Linked DNA regions of Sus scrofa. The protein of the gene in region 2 interacts with the protein of the main gene of each other region in a pairwise test. Links are inferred from orthologs where the notes say so. Each region holds a gene or a part of one and is shown on either strand. Other genes may lie near its edges. The genes, in order: KIFC3, CREB5, FOSL2 and ADAMTSL4.

Region 1 (3,563 bases), on a different chromosome or scaffold from region 2:
TCAAACAAATCCAGCTGGTATTCCCGAGGATGCAGGTTTGATCCCTGGCCTTGCTCAGTGGGTCAAGGATCCAGCATTGCTGGGAGCTGTGGTGTAGGTCACAGACATGGCTCAGATCTGGCATGGCTGTGGCTGTGGCCAGCAGCAACAGCTCCAATTCGACCCCTAGCCTGGGAACCTCCATATGCCACAGGTGTGGCCATAAAAAGAAAAAAAACAACAAAAAACAAAAAACCCCCAAAAACCCAAAAACTCTAAGCACCCAAGACAGAGCGGGAACCTAGGAGCTGCACCCCACCCCCAATCTGGCTTGGCCTGCCCCTCGCTAACCAGTCTCATCAATCCCAGAATTGAGGGAAAAGAAGGTCTGGATTGGAGGAGAAGGGACCACCATGTCAGTCCCCCCCAGAGGATGTTAAAGCCTGGGCCAGCAGGGCCCTCTTACTGTCTTTGTTGGGACACCGGCCCACCTCCCCTACCGGGAGAATCCCACAGCAGCACTACCCCCCAAGAGCCAGGGAAATGCTAACAAACCAAAGATACCGCTGGGGCCTGCTTTCCACTTCTATCTATAGTCAGAGCCTTCCTCCTCTCAACACCCCCATTCCCAGCCACACCCCACGGAGGGGGGCGTGGCGCAGGTGCGGAGCTGAGGCCCTGGGAGCAGCAGGTAAGACCTGGGTGCCCAGGACAGCTTCACTGGCTGGTCTCCCCCAACTGCCAGGATCTCCTGGGGGACAGAGATGCACCCTCCCTCATGCTGACACGCCAGAGCCCCCACATGGAGCGCCATACAGCAGCAGCCCAATAAATGTGTTTGAGTGAAATCAAGCCAGTCCTGAGAGACGCCCGCAGCGATCTGCCCTGGACTCTGAGCCCAGGCCAAGACCCCTCTGAGGCCAGAGGCTATTGCCAGCACACCTCCCCCGCCCCGATACCCACTGGGACCATGTTGGGCTTGTGCCCCACGGCTAACAGGGTAACGTGGGGCCCTGCTCCAAGGTGGCCGTGAAGACCAAGCGAGGCACAACACGGTGGCAGTGGGGGGGGGGTCTTCACTCTGAACCCCTGCCCCATGCAGTGGGCACCCACCTCCATCGTGTACGTCTTGCCAGCCCCTGTCTGGCCATAGGCGAAGATGCAGACGTTGAAGCCGTCGATGCAGGAGGTGATCAGGGCCTGCACCTCCTGGAACACCTGGGGGGGGGACATGCGATGGAGGGCGTGGGGCTGCCAGGACCAAGGGCCCCTACCAGCAACTTCCTCATGACCCCGCCCCCTGTGCTTCAGCAACCCCACAGCACATGCTATTGTGGGCAACCAGCTCACTCTGGAGGAATCCATGACTACTCGGTCACTGACGCCGGCATCAGTGGGCGGTCTCACTGCTGAGTGACTGAAGGGACTGCCCACCAGATTCGGACGCAGGGGCCGCCCCGCCCGGGAACTCAGGAGCCCTCCCCAGCTTCTCTCCTCCCAAGATGGGTCAGAAAATGATGGCAGAGCCAGCATATGCCCGGCACCGCCACGGGCCTGCCTGCCAGCCCACAACAAAAGACAGGGGCAAAGATAAACCCTGGAAGGGGATGGCAAGGCATGGGCAGGACTGGCCTCCCCAGGCTGGCCCTGGCAGAGATGAGAACACATGGCTCACACAGGCTGAGCGCTCCTCACTGAGGCCTGAGGGGCAGCGTGGGACTCCCTAGGGAGACCCTTGGCACTGACACAGGAGGTGCTCCTGACTGGAGCGGGCCTGCCTCTCGGCAAGTCCGAGTCTCGTGGATGGGCGGAGCCAGGTTGAGTGGGACGGACCATGGGAGGGGCCCCCAAAGTGGGTGTGGCTGAATATGGGTGGGGACCACGTGGGTGGGAGGGGCCATAAGAGTGGGTGTGGCTATGAAAGCAGAGGGTTCACTGGGTGGAATGGGCCCAGGAGTGGGTGTGGCTATGCAGGTGGGCGGGGCCATATGAGTGTCATAGGTTATGTATGGCTCTCTCCTTAAGCAGAGGCTTCTGAAGCCTTCACTTTTATCTTCCCACTCTCTTCTCTCCTCCAGAGGAGAGGAGAAGGGCACTGTGGGGTCCCCGGCTTCTCCTTTCTGTCTCCCCTCTCTTACGCTTCTTTTTGCCCAGCCCCCACCACCTCTCCCTCTGCAGGTGGGGTGACTATCTCCCCCTCCCTCCAATGCTCTGTCTCTCCCCGCCGCACGGCCACACTCACGTCCTGCTGTGAGGCCCGCGGGGAGAAGACCTTGTCCAGCTCGAAGGAGACAGGTTTTCCTTTGTGCAGCAAATGAATGATGGAGTCATCGTCGGGATCAAAGGTCACGGCATTGGTCGCCTCGGGTCCTTCCCCATCCTCTTTGGTGACTGGCCGGACACGGGCAATCACCCGGATGTTCCCTGGATTGGGTGGGGGAAGAGAGAGGGGTACAGGTCAGGTCGAGACCAGACTGCCTCTACACTGGTGTCCACCGCTGTCCAGAGCAGGCTAGTGGTTCAGGAGCTCCCCACCTTCTAAGCAAGGCCCCACTAGGGCAAAGTGGCCCACAAAGCTGTTATCAGTCACTCACACTACAGTATGAATTCATTTATCAATACATTTTCTGGCTGAGCAAACCAGTTGAGGGTAGGAGCCTCATTTTGGGGCCATGGAAGGAAGGTTGGTTGTGGGGCTCAGACATTGCACCCAGTGTGGGTGGGATACAAAACGGACACTCTTTACACACCTGGACCTCAGTTTCCTTGTATACACAACAAGGAGCTTGGTCTATCACTCTAGAAAGGCACTGAGAATGCCAGGACAGGGCCTGTACATCAGATGGGCAGACAAGGTGGAAGGTGGACAACTGGCACCACACTGAATGGGCACACGCAACAGGGCAGGCACCGGGGTGTTTGAGGCACAGATCTGACCGTGTCACCCCCTTGCTAGGGTGAGATCCCAGAGCTACTGGAATGAAAATTCCACACAACAGCCAGCATGGCCCACCTTCCCTTCACCTCTCCACTCCAGCTCCCAGTCCAGGTCTCAGCCTTAGCTTGGCCTCCTCCTGGAAGCACCCCTCCCCCCAACACTCCCAACTGTCAGATATTCAGGGGCTCTCAGCCGCCCTCCCCAGCCTGGGTAAAGGGGCAGTGAGGGGGTTCCCTGGGTATTAATGATCACTGTGTGCTCCCGCAACTGAAGTGAGCACCATGAGGTCAGGGATGGGTTCTGCGGGCCCAGAGCACATCCTCAGGGTCTGAAATAACACCTGGCCCAGAGCAGGTGCACCCTTGACCTCTGTGCAGTGAATGGGTGGCATCTCAAGCTTGACCAGGCCCTAGGTCAGAACAAGGGGTATTCCAGCACCCCCCCACACCCAGTACATAAATACTCCAGCCCTTAGCCACCCGGTAGCCTGCCAGGGGCCCTGGGGCAAAGGCTTCAGAGGTGGACAGGTCCGAGGTGGACCATTCGCTGGCCATGCCGTTTTGAGCAAATTCCCTGTGACGTCCCTGTGCTGATTTCCTTGTATACAAAGAGGGAATCACAAAAGCTCCTAAGGGATGCTCCAAGG
Region 2 (3,563 bases):
AGCAATGATTATTTTCCTCATTCTATATCAACATCTTTCTTTAATGCTTACTGGCTTCTTCATCCTCCCATTGGTATTATTATTTTTAGGGTTAATTTTGCGAAACACTGCCAAAATAGATTTTGGAGAACTTGAAGTTTACATTTTCCCCTAGACACTAGACCTGATATTCACTGTATTCGTTCTAGCAACTATGATCTGGTAGGGTCTTATGGGTAACCGTTACCTCCTAGGTAATGAACAGAGCCCCCCAGAGTGTCAGATAGAACACCTGGACTTGTCAAACAACGTTGCCGCCAATGAGCCCACATTAGAGCCTGTACTTTGAACATGAAGGAGGAAAGAGTCATGAAAAAGGTCTACCTGTGCTTGGTTGCCGGAGTGCAGGGGTGGGTGTGGCGAGGTCTGGTGATGTGCTGGGTGTGCATGAAGGTGGGAGTGGGAGTGATGGTGTGGGTGGTTCTGCTGGTGATGGGGTTGAGGATGAGGATGGTGTGCTGGGTGCTGGTGCTGGTGCTGGTGCGGGTAGGGGTGATGGGCTGGCAGTGTCTGGTGCTGATGTGGGTGGGAGTGCATGTGGTGGTGTGGCGTCTGGTCCTGCCGGGAGCCCATCATTTCCATCATGTGTCCCATGGTGTTCATATTCCCATTTGACATGGCAGCCGGGTGATGGGTCAACGCAGCCTTCAACCTCTGAAACAGAACAAAACAAGAGGGGACAACTAGAGGTCAGTCACGTAGTACACGATAGGGATTTTGAATCCAAATGACTCATCTTTTCAATTCTATAATGTTTTCCGGTACTACTGTTAACATCTTTTTTTTTAAACTGGTAGCAGTATGGCTTTTCTATTAATTTCAATTTTTCATGCGTGTTATAGTAGGTAGGAGGGTCAATATCAACCGTAAATGTTACTTAGTTCAACGGTCATGGCAAACGATCAGGATATCCTAGACATTCTGCTAAAAGGTACTTCTGCTATCCAATTGTTCATCATAACCTATTGACAGCCAAACGCAAGCATGAACCCAATAGAACCATTCAAGTCGATAATACCCCTGAACAAAGGGCCCATCTGATATGGTCTGTGCTTAATAATGAGTCAGAAGAATGCAAGAATTTTGTTTCCCAAAAGATTTCTAAGACCCACAGAGGACATAACTTCAAATTTTAGAATACAGGAATACTGCTCATGTTATTTTAAGTCTTCAAGTTAGATTAGAAATATACAACTTTTGGAGGCCATTTGTTACTATGATATTTCTCATAGTCCCTCAGATAATCTAATTTTCTCACACAGTAATGTGCTTCTGTTCTTCTGATTTGAGGAAGGCAAGGAAGAAAGTAGGAGAATATGATGTATTGCAGCCTTCTACAGCCTCTTTGACGATGACATCGCAGGCTAAGTTCAAGTTGAACACGCAAGCCTCATCCACCAACAAGCAAACAGACATGTACACAAATAACTTCTCCCTGAATCTAACCCCTAAGCAGAGGTCGGAAAACTTTTCTATAAAAAGTCAGATAGCAAATATTTTGATCATTGCATGCCGTAGAGTCTCTCAAAACTACTCAATGCAGCCCTTTAAGCACAAAAACAGCTATAGATGAGATGTAAGCAAATGACCATGCAGTGTTCCGACACAACTTTATTCAGGAACAGGAAATTTGAATTTCATATAACTTTTGCATGACATGAAATGCTATTATCCTCGGTTTGATTTTTTTCCCCCAATCGTTTAAAAATATAAAAACCATTTTTAGCTCCTACGCTGTGCAAAATTAGGCAGCGGGCCAGAAGGGGCCCAGAATCTGGCCCCGATTTAAAGAATCAGTTGGTAATCAGCTTAGTCACAGTTTCTTCAACATTGTTTTTTCTTGTACACAGACAATTATCATCCTATCCTGAGGGGCATAACGTACAAAGTACTCTATAATACAGTTACTCCTTGGAAAGGTATCTTCTGCAGAGATGATAGTCTAGTTGGCAAGCTCACATTGGCTTCTTAAAGTATTTACTAGGGGGCTCCAAGTTCTCTCCTGATTTGTGTTCTTCTCTGATTGATGATGGTGGTGTAATCGTTGCAAAATGGAAGAGTTGCATTTAAAATGATGATCAAAGCAGCCATGCTCCAGCATGCACAATACGAATGAGTCTCAACCAAACAGAGAAAACTACTGATAAATACCAATTCAATTCTTTGAAATCTGTAGTTAAACCTAAAGAGCCTCCACTTGTTAAAAAAAAAAAAGTCTGGGGGGGGGCACAGTTTGACAGACTATGTTCATATTCCATAAGCACTGAAAACAATTCTTACTTCCTGATCCAGTAACCACTGAACCCACCTGCCTCCTCTTTGATGAGCAGCATCTGCTGTACAGCAGCGCCTGACCCGAATCCCAAAGAAGCTAAGCTTACTGAATCCCTGGGAAAGAGTAGATGCTGTGTATTGTGTTAATCGCTAAATGAAATAACAATAAACAGAAAAGTGACCAGATGCTCCTCATCTCCAATTTTCAGAAATGATTTCATTGTTTTTATACAAATGCTCATTATAAAAAATTCAAGCAATGCTTAAAAGTACAATGAAGTCAGCAACCAATGAACCAAATGCATTGTTTATATCTGGTGGGTGAGCAGCATTCCAGACAACTCTCTCCATGCACATGTAGAGATGGAGGAACAAGCAGAACAATTCCATAACAGTGGAGTCATAATAGCATGTGATTAAAAAAAACCCTCTCATTTGAATAGAACGTAAGCAAAAGAAGTGAAAACTGAATGAATCACTGGACTTCACATACATGTTTCTTTACTCAAGAATAGTTTCTAAATGATATCTCTGAACTTAAAAGTGAAGAAAATTATGAAAAATTGCATTGAAATCACTATTTTTAATTGACATACTGGATAGTATTGATGGATTTTCTAAACTATTTTTATAATTTCACTATTATAAAAATATACAGATGGAAAGGAAAAAAAAAAAAAGCAAATGACAACCAACTATAAGAATATGAGGTAGAAATGTCCATCCACAGATGAATGGATAAAGAAGATGTGGTACATATATATACAATGGAATATTACTTGGCCATAAAAAAGAATGAAATAATACCACTTGCAGCAATATGGATGGACCTAGAAACTATTATACTAAGTGAAGCTAGTCAGTGAAAGACAAACATCACATGATATCACTTATATGTGGAATTTTCAAAAAGGATATAAGTGAACTTATTTGTAGAACAGACTTTGAAAAACTTATAGTTACCAAAGCGGACAGGTCAGGGGTGGGATGGACTGGAGGCATATAGACACTGAGGTATATGGAATGATTGGCCAGTGGGGGCCTGCTGTATAGCACAGGGAAATTTACCCAATATTCTGTGATAATCCATGTGGGAAAAGAATCTGAAAGAGAATAGATATGTGTGTATGTATGACTGAATCACTTTCTCTACAGCAGAAATCATCACAACCTGGTAAATCAAATGCACTTCAGCAAAACTTTAACTCCCCCCCAAAAAGAATATGAGTTGGAAAAGTAAAAGCCACCTG
Region 3 (4,327 bases), on a different chromosome or scaffold from region 2:
ACAAATGGCAGCCTTGGAAAAGTTTTGGGTCTTGTTTTTGTTTTGTTTTTTCATTAAAAAGGGAGCCCAGCTGATGAAAACAAGTTATGAAATGACCTATGTTTGTGTAACTGGCTGGATTGCGTAATGCTCAGGGCCTGAAACCGTAAGAGTCGAGCAGCCAGGCAGGGCATATATCTGGGAGGTGTTTTCCTAAGAAAGTTAGGAGAGAGAAAAAACAACAACAGCAATAAAAAGAAAAAGCCAGGAGGGGAAGGTATGTGCAACTATTAGTGACAAATCAGAATCACCCATGACCAACCTTTGAGATTAAAACTATAAGTGGAACAGGAAATATTTTTCATGCTTCAAGTTCCTGCCATATACAAGAACAGAGGTTTTTAACAAAGAGTTATCTGCACCCCCTTCCCCCCAAGTCCCTGGGACTCCTGGCCATGTGTTAAGATCAAACTTTACCAAGTGAGAGAGGAGAAGAAAGCCCTGTGTGGGGTGGACAGCAACAAACTGCTCAGGAATATTAGACCCCACCAACAAAGCAAGCTGGAAAAAATAATATTCACTCGCCCAAGGTAAAACCAGAGACCCCTCTTACATGGTTTGGTCCACTGAGACGCCACTGGAGGAGGAGGGCCCATCCCTAACTGCCAGGAAAAGTCTCCCTCTCCCCGTAAAGGAAGCTAAGAGAAATAAAGTGATTACAGGTTTTATCTGGTATGTAATAAAGTTACCTTGAGCCTGGGTGGGGTCGTAGCCCAGACTTGTGAAGTAACAAAAACCTCTCACGTCAGTCCTTAGGACCACAGAACAGCTCTGCTCCAAGTCAGAGAGATGATGGGAAAACCCTCCCCTCTTCCCACCCACCCCCCAAGAGTGGACAGGCCAAGAAACTCATCCAAAGCTGAGTTACCTTGCCAATCCCTCCGGTTTGAAAGGTGCCTCACTCAAGCTGCTGGGCCGAATGGGCAAGCATATATGCAAGAACCCCGTGCAGCAGTTATTACTAATTGCAAAATCCTCATGTGTTGCAGCATGCTAGGAATTAGCCAACAGCTGCTTTTTGCTTTGGTAATGAGGCCCCATTACACTCTGCTGGACTGAGTTCTCTTCCTTCTTCCTAGCACTGGTTTCCTGTCTGATTTTCTTCCAAAACAGGGAATTGCCTCCGCTTGCATCCTGGGCTCAAAGCCCTAGTGACACAGATTATTCAATCGGGGCACTGATGTCCGGTCGGACTTCCCATCCAGGCCCCAGGGTCTGAGCAAAGCCAGGCGGCGACGTTGTAACATTTCAGTGATGACTGCCATAGAAACAGCAGCCAAAAGAGCAGATGAGACATCAGAAGATTCCCTTCCCATCGGAGAACGGAGATGGGGGGGGGGGGTGCTGTGGAAATGGAGACTGAGGGAATGGGTATAAATGACTCCCACCCGCTGCTTAATGATATCTGGATTCAATACAAACCACCAATGGGGCTGGAGAGCAAACAAAAATCAAACACTTTGGGACAAGACTTGAAATGCATCACCTTAGTGCTCAGTATTAGGGGTGCTCTGACCGTACCCTCAATGCACCAACCAGGTTCTCTACAGTGGGGTGCTAAAGGGGACACCGGGGCAGGTAAAAAGAAGACACAGAAAAGCCATTTTAAGGACTCACCAGGTATGGGGAACCACTTTGGAATAAGAGACCCCTCTTCAGATACCAAAGAGAGCCCCCTTTCCATTTTATTCTCCCTCAGGGTCCCTCCTCCCCAGAAGTCCACCCCAGGCCCTCCTGGTTGGCTGGCTTATAGAAGCCAAAGCCATCATCATCTTACCAGCGCAACTCGAGACAGCCAACTTGCCTAGAGACTCTGCAGATCCTGACCGAGGCGGGCTTCAGGTTCCAGCAACCTTGTTGGTTAAGCCAGCTCCCTCCCAAGAGTGGGGGTCGGGGGGTGGGGGGGAGTGGTGGCTGCAGAGGGCAGGCACCCCACGAACACCACCAACCCAGCAGCACCTTTCTGGTATTTATTCCGGTATTTATAGACACACAGATCTCAGGCAAAATCCCTCTGGTGCAAACCAGTCCGCCTGCTTTAGAAACAAGTTGTTTTCCGGCTTCCAGAACCACCCAGGAGCCTAAGCGAGGTCTCATCCACCGCCCCCACCGCCCCCCCACCGTCCCCTCTCTGCAGGCGTCCTGGCCCCAGATATTCCCAGACCCCCAAGGCGCCCCTTCTGGTCGGCTGTGCAGGCTCCTTCTGTGACCCTAACAGGAGATGGATGGGCGCGGGGGAGAAAGGCGCAGCCTGAGCCAATCAAGGCTGACCTCCTCCTTCCTGACCTTCGCACCTGATTCCCAGAGCGACAACCCTCGCCCTCGCTCCGGATTACTTGAAGGAGCCCATTTTTCCCAGTCCCCAAGTTCTTTCAGAAATGAACGAAGACCGAAGGAGAGAGGGCTTTTTCGCAGGAATAAGGTCCCTGGATGTCGGGAGGTGCCCGTGGGTGCAAAGATTTTTTTTGGAGGGGGGTCTAACCACGGGGTTCCTGCGAGAGAGGTACAGGGTCCTGGGGAAAAGGCCCTGCAATTCCAGGAGCTTGTCTGTATAGGATGTAGTGTGAAGGCGAGGGTTTGTTGGCTCTCCAGCCCACTCGCCGCTCTAGTTTAAAAAAAAAAAAAAAAAAAAAAAGTGTTGGCGGGGGATGGGGGAAGGTTAAAGGAGGTGTCAGGAGGACAAGATGAAAATCTAGAACTTACAATGGAGGCCGCAAGAATTTTCTCGCCAAATCAAGAAAGGGAAAAGAAAGGGGGGGAAAAAAGGCAGTCCTGGCGAGAGGAAGGCGGGGGGTCCACCCGCGGCGCCAGGTGCACCCGGGGCCCGCACCTACCTGCTGGCCGCCGCCGCCGCTGGAGTAGGACTCGGCGTGCGCAGGAGAGCCGCTGCTGCCCCGGGACGAGGTGTCAAAGTTCCCGGGATAATCCTGGTACATGATCCGCGGTGGGGGCCCGAGAGGAAACAGGGTGTTTTTCTTCCCCCGCCCTCGCCGCGGCCGCGCACCGGCAGCTGCGCGCTGGCTCCCTGCCGGCCGCGCCTGGGGCTCTAAGCGTCGCTCCCGGGCTTCTCCCCCTCGGCGGCGGCACTCCGAGAACAGTGCCCCCCGAGCGCCGAGCGCTGCACTTCTTTCCTGCTCTACGAGCGCCGCGGGACCAGTTGTCCACCCGGTCCCTCCCTCTAAAAAGTCCGCGCGTCCCTCGGTCCCTCCCCTGCGCGCGCCCTCCTGCCCCCGCGCGCAATCAGAGCCCAGCCGGGACCGCCGGCTCAATCAAAAATTGGAAATTAAAAAAAGAATAGGAGCCCGGCGAGTCAAGCCTGCCAGGTCTGGGGGCCCCCAATTTCAGACAGGGCAAAAAAGGAAGAAAAAAAAAAAAAGGCGAAAAGAAAGGCTGCCCGCTTGGAGAAACTTCTATTTCCTCCTTTTAGAAAAGGAGCTGAGAATAAACTTCCTGTGGCCGACTCGCCGCCGGAGTTTCGAGCGGCAGGGACACTTGATTAGGTGAAGGCAGCCCGCCCCGCGGCCCGTGGGGTTCCAGCTGAGCTGACGCGGAGAGGGACGCGGGCCCGCTCCCCTTGCGGCGGCTCCGGCGCCCGGACCTGCACCCCTTCCCCGGCGCCCGCTCCCGGACGGGCCCGCCTCGCCCGTCCGCGCCTCTCTCTCTCCCTCTCTCTGTCCCCGCCGAGCGCCGCTTGCTTGCTCGCTGGTTCGCTCGGAGCCCCAGCGCTCTGCCCGAGATGAGTCACTACAATGGCACGAGTTCAACTCCACTCTTTATTCTCCAGCCCCTGTACCTCACGTCAACCCAAGACTCCACCTTGCGGGAGGAGCGCTAGGGGAGGCGGAGGGAGAGGGCCGAGGAGGAGGAGGGGGAAGAGGAGGAAGAGGCGCGGGAGGAGGCGGGCGCAGCACTCCCCTCCCTGCCCGGGCTCCCGGCCGCGCTGACGCCAGCCGCACACCCTGCGCGAGGAAGGAAGGAGGTGGAGGGGGTGGGAGCGCTGTGAGCGCGGTTTGGGGGACCCGAGGCAGCCCGGCCCTTCCCCACCCCCGCCCACCCCCCTGGGCCCTGCGCCCTTGGTCTGTTCCACCGGCGCCTGTTGCCAAAGATGGTCATTTGCGTTAGAGGACGCGCGTGCGGGTTCCCTCGCTTTCGGGTGACGTGGAGGGAGAGGGATTCCCTCGCCGGCTCCAGAGCGCGCCACGGCCTCCCTACTTCTCCACCGCCCTGGGAAGGGGCGCGGGGCGGGGCCCCCGAGAGCGGCCACGCGGGCCCCTGCGCAGGGTTTTAG
Region 4 (3,563 bases), on a different chromosome or scaffold from region 2:
GACTCCAGGGTGTAGAAAACCATCGGTCCTGGCAGTTCTGCCCCTGACAGGGCTGCAGGGCAGGGGGCCTGGGCAAGTGGGAACAGTTGCTAGGAGAAGTCACGTTGAACTCAGTCCCCAGTTTGGACACACAGATGATGTCTCTACGCTGTGTGCCAGAGCCACATTCCGAGGAGCACTGATGGGGAGGAAGGGAAGGGACAACAGGGGTTAATCCTACCTCCCCACAGGGAATCCACTGACGGGCCCCCTCCCAGGTTCTCAGCTCACCTCAGCCCAGGGCCCCGTGTACCAGCACCACGTCACCTCGCAGGGCCCCAAGCTGCAGGCACGCATGTCAGGGGGGCGGCTTCCTGGTGCACAGGTCTGCTCGCTGGCTCCTGCCCCTGCTTCCTCCTGGCCCACCCCATGGGCCTCCCCACTCCCAAGGCAGACCACAGAGCGTCGCTGGATTCCCGTCCCACACTCGGCTGAGCACTGTTGGGAAGCAGAGAGGGCTGTGACAGGTAGGGGAAGAGGAGGGGGCTGAGGACAGACACATTCTGGACCGGGGATAGGGAATGCCCCCAGGGGTACCAGCCAGATACAGGGAGACTTTGCCGGCAGGGGCAAGGGTCTTAATGTAAGTTTTCCTCACTTAGCTCCAAGTTCCCGGCATCAGCAGCATCTAGCATACAGCAGGTGCTTGCTCAATAAAAGTTTATTTAACCGAGTTGGAGAGGCTCTGAGAGGGTGTGGTGGATGTGGGGCACCAGGGATGGGGACTTGGCTGAGGGGGTGTGGGGCCCACCTTGGAGCTCCAGTCGCTGTGGAACCAGGCCGTGGTGCAGGGCCCCATGTCACAGGCCTCTCTGCTGGGGGGCCTCGGAGGGCCTGAGGCACACTCTTGCTCGCTCACTTCATCACCGTTGTTGCCCACACAGCGGACCTGCCGGCTCCTCTGGCCTCGCCCGCACCGCACGGAGCACTGATAGAATCAGGGGCAGCGAGGGCTGAGCTTCCCTGGCTCCATCACCAGCCTCCAGCTCTTTTGATTTTTGGTCTTTTTAGAGCCGCACCCGGGGCATGTGAAGGTTCCCAGGCTAGGGGTAGAATCAGCGCTGTAGCCACCAGCCTACACCGCAGCCACAGCAATGCCAGATCCGAACCTACACCACAGCTCACGGCAACACCGGATCCTTAACCTACTGAGCGAGGCCAGGGATCGAACCTGCGTCCTCATGGATACTAGTCAGATTCGTTTCCGCTGAACCATGGCGCGAACTCCATCTCCAGGGCTTTTGAAGCAGGATCTGCCTCTGCTCCCTGGCTCAGCAGTTACAGGGTTTGTGGGCTGAGAAGCGGGCAGAGTATGGGGCTCTGGGCCCCCAAGCCCTGGTTCAGTCTCTCAGCTGACTTACTGGTGAGATCTCGTTTGAAAAAAGTTGCTACTGATTAAAATGGGGATGGAAAAACCACTGTTCTGGCTCACTGGTACCTACTCCTCTAGGCTTCCGGGCCCAGGTCCACTCACCTGGCTCCAGGGGGATCGGACCTCCCAGTGGCCACAGAGGCGCAGCTGGCAGGGCTGGGTGATGTTGGGCCGGGGCAGATGTCCGCAGCGCTCTGGGGGCACCGAGGAGCCACCGCCCCCAAACTCCTGCCGGCAGCGCAGCTGGCGGTGCTGGGTACCAGGGCCACAGGAACGGCTGCAGGATGTCCACTCGCCGGTCTCCCAGCTATGGGTATGGGCAGGGCGGGAAGAGACAGAGAGACATGGATGGCAGAAACAGCCGCGTGTGGGGCCACCACATTCAGGGAAAGGGTGGACAGACGGGGTTGGGAGGAGAGGACAGAGGGCATATTTAGCATTTGGATTGTGGGGCTCCTGGTAGGACTCAGGCTGCCAGTTTTCTTGCTATCTATGGAATGTCAGCCTTTCTAGCTGAATAATATCTCTGTGTTGCCAAGAAATCTTGTGTTGAGCACAGAGTCCAGGTGTGATTCTGCAGGTGCGAGGACGTGTTTCCCCAGGGTGGCTGTTATGTTCCCAACCCTCCCGGTGGATTATACGCACTATGGTGGGCACGGGGGGCCATGGCAGGGTTCCTGGGAGGCTGGGGGCCTGGCACCCATGGCACAGCTGCGTTCATCCAGTTCCTCTCCCGATTCACGAGAAACGCAGAGGAAGATGGGGCGCCAAACACCTGAAGGGGATGAAAGCCAGAGGAGGTGGGACGGCTCAGCATCCAGTGTCAGGGGGTCCTAGTCACTGCAGGCTGATTTGACAGAGTCAAGGTGTGGACCCACCAGCCAGGCGATGGGATCGGGAGCACCAAGTGAGGGATTTGGGCTAAGGGTGCCAGGATTACAGGCTGCTATATGAAGTCTCACCTTTGCCGCACGATGCCGAGCACTCAGAGTGTCCCACCCGTTTCCAGTATCCGGTTGGAGACCCCAAGTGTGTCCTGGGATGGGACGGGGCAGGCATCTGGGGGATCCGCACCTGCCGCTGGAGGGTACCAGGGGTCCGGGCAGGCCGGGATGCCGAAGCGGGTGGGGGCTCCACCCTGAAAATCTCTGTGCAGGGAGAGTCGTGTAGACAAATCAGATGCATCCCCACTGCCTCGAGCTTCCCCCTTGGCCTCTCCTCCTCCTTCCGGGTCTGGGGATCAACATCTTACCAGGCTGGAGCTGGGGGAGATGGGGCTCTGGGGTCGGGTTCTCAAGGTCTGGGGGAGGTGAAGAGATGACATACTGATAGAAAACGCCTGGGCTTTCCTCCTGAAAGATCATCTGAGGAGAAAAGAGAGAAGCCAGTGGGTGCTTGCGGGTGGCTGGGGTCAGGGGCATCCAACAGCCTTCTCCCCATCTGAGACCCAGAGCTTTCCCCTCAGAGGAGAGGCCTCCCCCGCAGGGCCGCTTCCCCAGACCCAGGCCCCACACTCACGTAGACATCCACAGGCTGGGTGGTGGGGCCTTCAGCAGACAGACTCTCCCCTGCGCCCTCCTCTCGAGGAGGACGGTTGTACCGGAAGACAGTCCCGCCGGCCGTGTAGGACCCGGGGGGATCCACAGCCCAGTTCCCATTGATGATGGACTGGCCCCCAGGGCCTCGAAGCGCTGGAGGTGGCAGATCAGGACATGCGAGGTTAGTCCCATCACCCTCAGCCACTGCTTCCCTAGACACCCCCAGACACCGCCAGCCCTTGCGCTTCCTCACCATCCCCACGAGGGAGGGCAGAAGGGGCGCTGACTCGCTGGCTGGGCTGCATGGAGGTGTGAGGGGCAGAATCAGCAGGCCAGGAACTCACCAATGTAGTTGGAGCTGGGCCGGAGCTGGGCGATGTGGAGCCGGGAGGCTCCAGCAGGAATCACCAGGATCTTCTGATAGCCCAGAGAGCCCCCTGGGTCAGTGAGGTTCCCCGAGACCAGGCGGCAGGTAGAATCATCACCCCCGCAGACTCCACAGCCATCTGGACGCCTGCCGGAGCCCAGGATCCCATCACAGCCGGGGCTCTGAGGGAAAGTGGAGGGAGGTGGGGGCTGCTGGAAGCCAGCCCCCACCTCACACCTGGCCCAGT

What was found.
Region 1: the proteins of CREB5 (region 2) and KIFC3 interact in binary tests that used the Homo sapiens proteins (3 or more experiments, as listed by UniProt). The two-hybrid records come from large-scale screens. The link is inferred for Sus scrofa from reciprocal best matches to the Homo sapiens genes CREB5 and KIFC3.
Region 3: the proteins of CREB5 (region 2) and FOSL2 interact in binary tests that used the Homo sapiens proteins (3 or more experiments, as listed by UniProt). The two-hybrid records come from large-scale screens. The link is inferred for Sus scrofa from reciprocal best matches to the Homo sapiens genes CREB5 and FOSL2.
Region 4: the proteins of CREB5 (region 2) and ADAMTSL4 interact in binary tests that used the Homo sapiens proteins (3 or more experiments, as listed by UniProt). The two-hybrid records come from large-scale screens. The link is inferred for Sus scrofa from reciprocal best matches to the Homo sapiens genes CREB5 and ADAMTSL4.

The regions. Positions count from the first base shown.
Region 1 is NC_010448.4:19,665,061-19,668,623, forward strand, and holds part of KIFC3 (kinesin-like protein KIFC3), read right to left. Parts: intron 2,404-3,563; coding exon 2,222-2,403; intron 1,198-2,221; coding exon 1,093-1,197; intron 1-1,092. UniProt on the Homo sapiens protein: Minus-end microtubule-dependent motor protein. Involved in apically targeted transport. Required for zonula adherens maintenance.
Region 2 is NC_010460.4:43,858,918-43,862,480, forward strand, and holds part of CREB5 (cyclic AMP-responsive element-binding protein 5), read right to left. Parts: intron 694-3,563; coding exon 364-693; intron 1-363. UniProt on the Homo sapiens protein: Binds to the cAMP response element and activates transcription.
Region 3 is NC_010445.4:110,839,876-110,844,202, forward strand, and holds the start of FOSL2 (fos-related antigen 2), read right to left. Parts: upstream 2,842-4,327; 5' UTR 1,817-2,841; intron 1,791-1,816; exon of another isoform or gene 908-1,790; intron 1-907.
Region 4 is NC_010446.5:98,579,231-98,582,793, forward strand, and holds part of ADAMTSL4 (ADAMTS-like protein 4), read right to left. Parts: intron 3,499-3,563; coding exon 3,294-3,498; intron 3,103-3,293; coding exon 2,930-3,102; intron 2,776-2,929; coding exon 2,664-2,775; intron 2,560-2,663; coding exon 2,374-2,559; intron 2,187-2,373; coding exon 2,057-2,186; intron 1,719-2,056; coding exon 1,514-1,718; intron 968-1,513; coding exon 791-967; intron 478-790; coding exon 271-477; intron 179-270; coding exon 1-178. UniProt on the Homo sapiens protein: Positive regulation of apoptosis. May facilitate FBN1 microfibril biogenesis.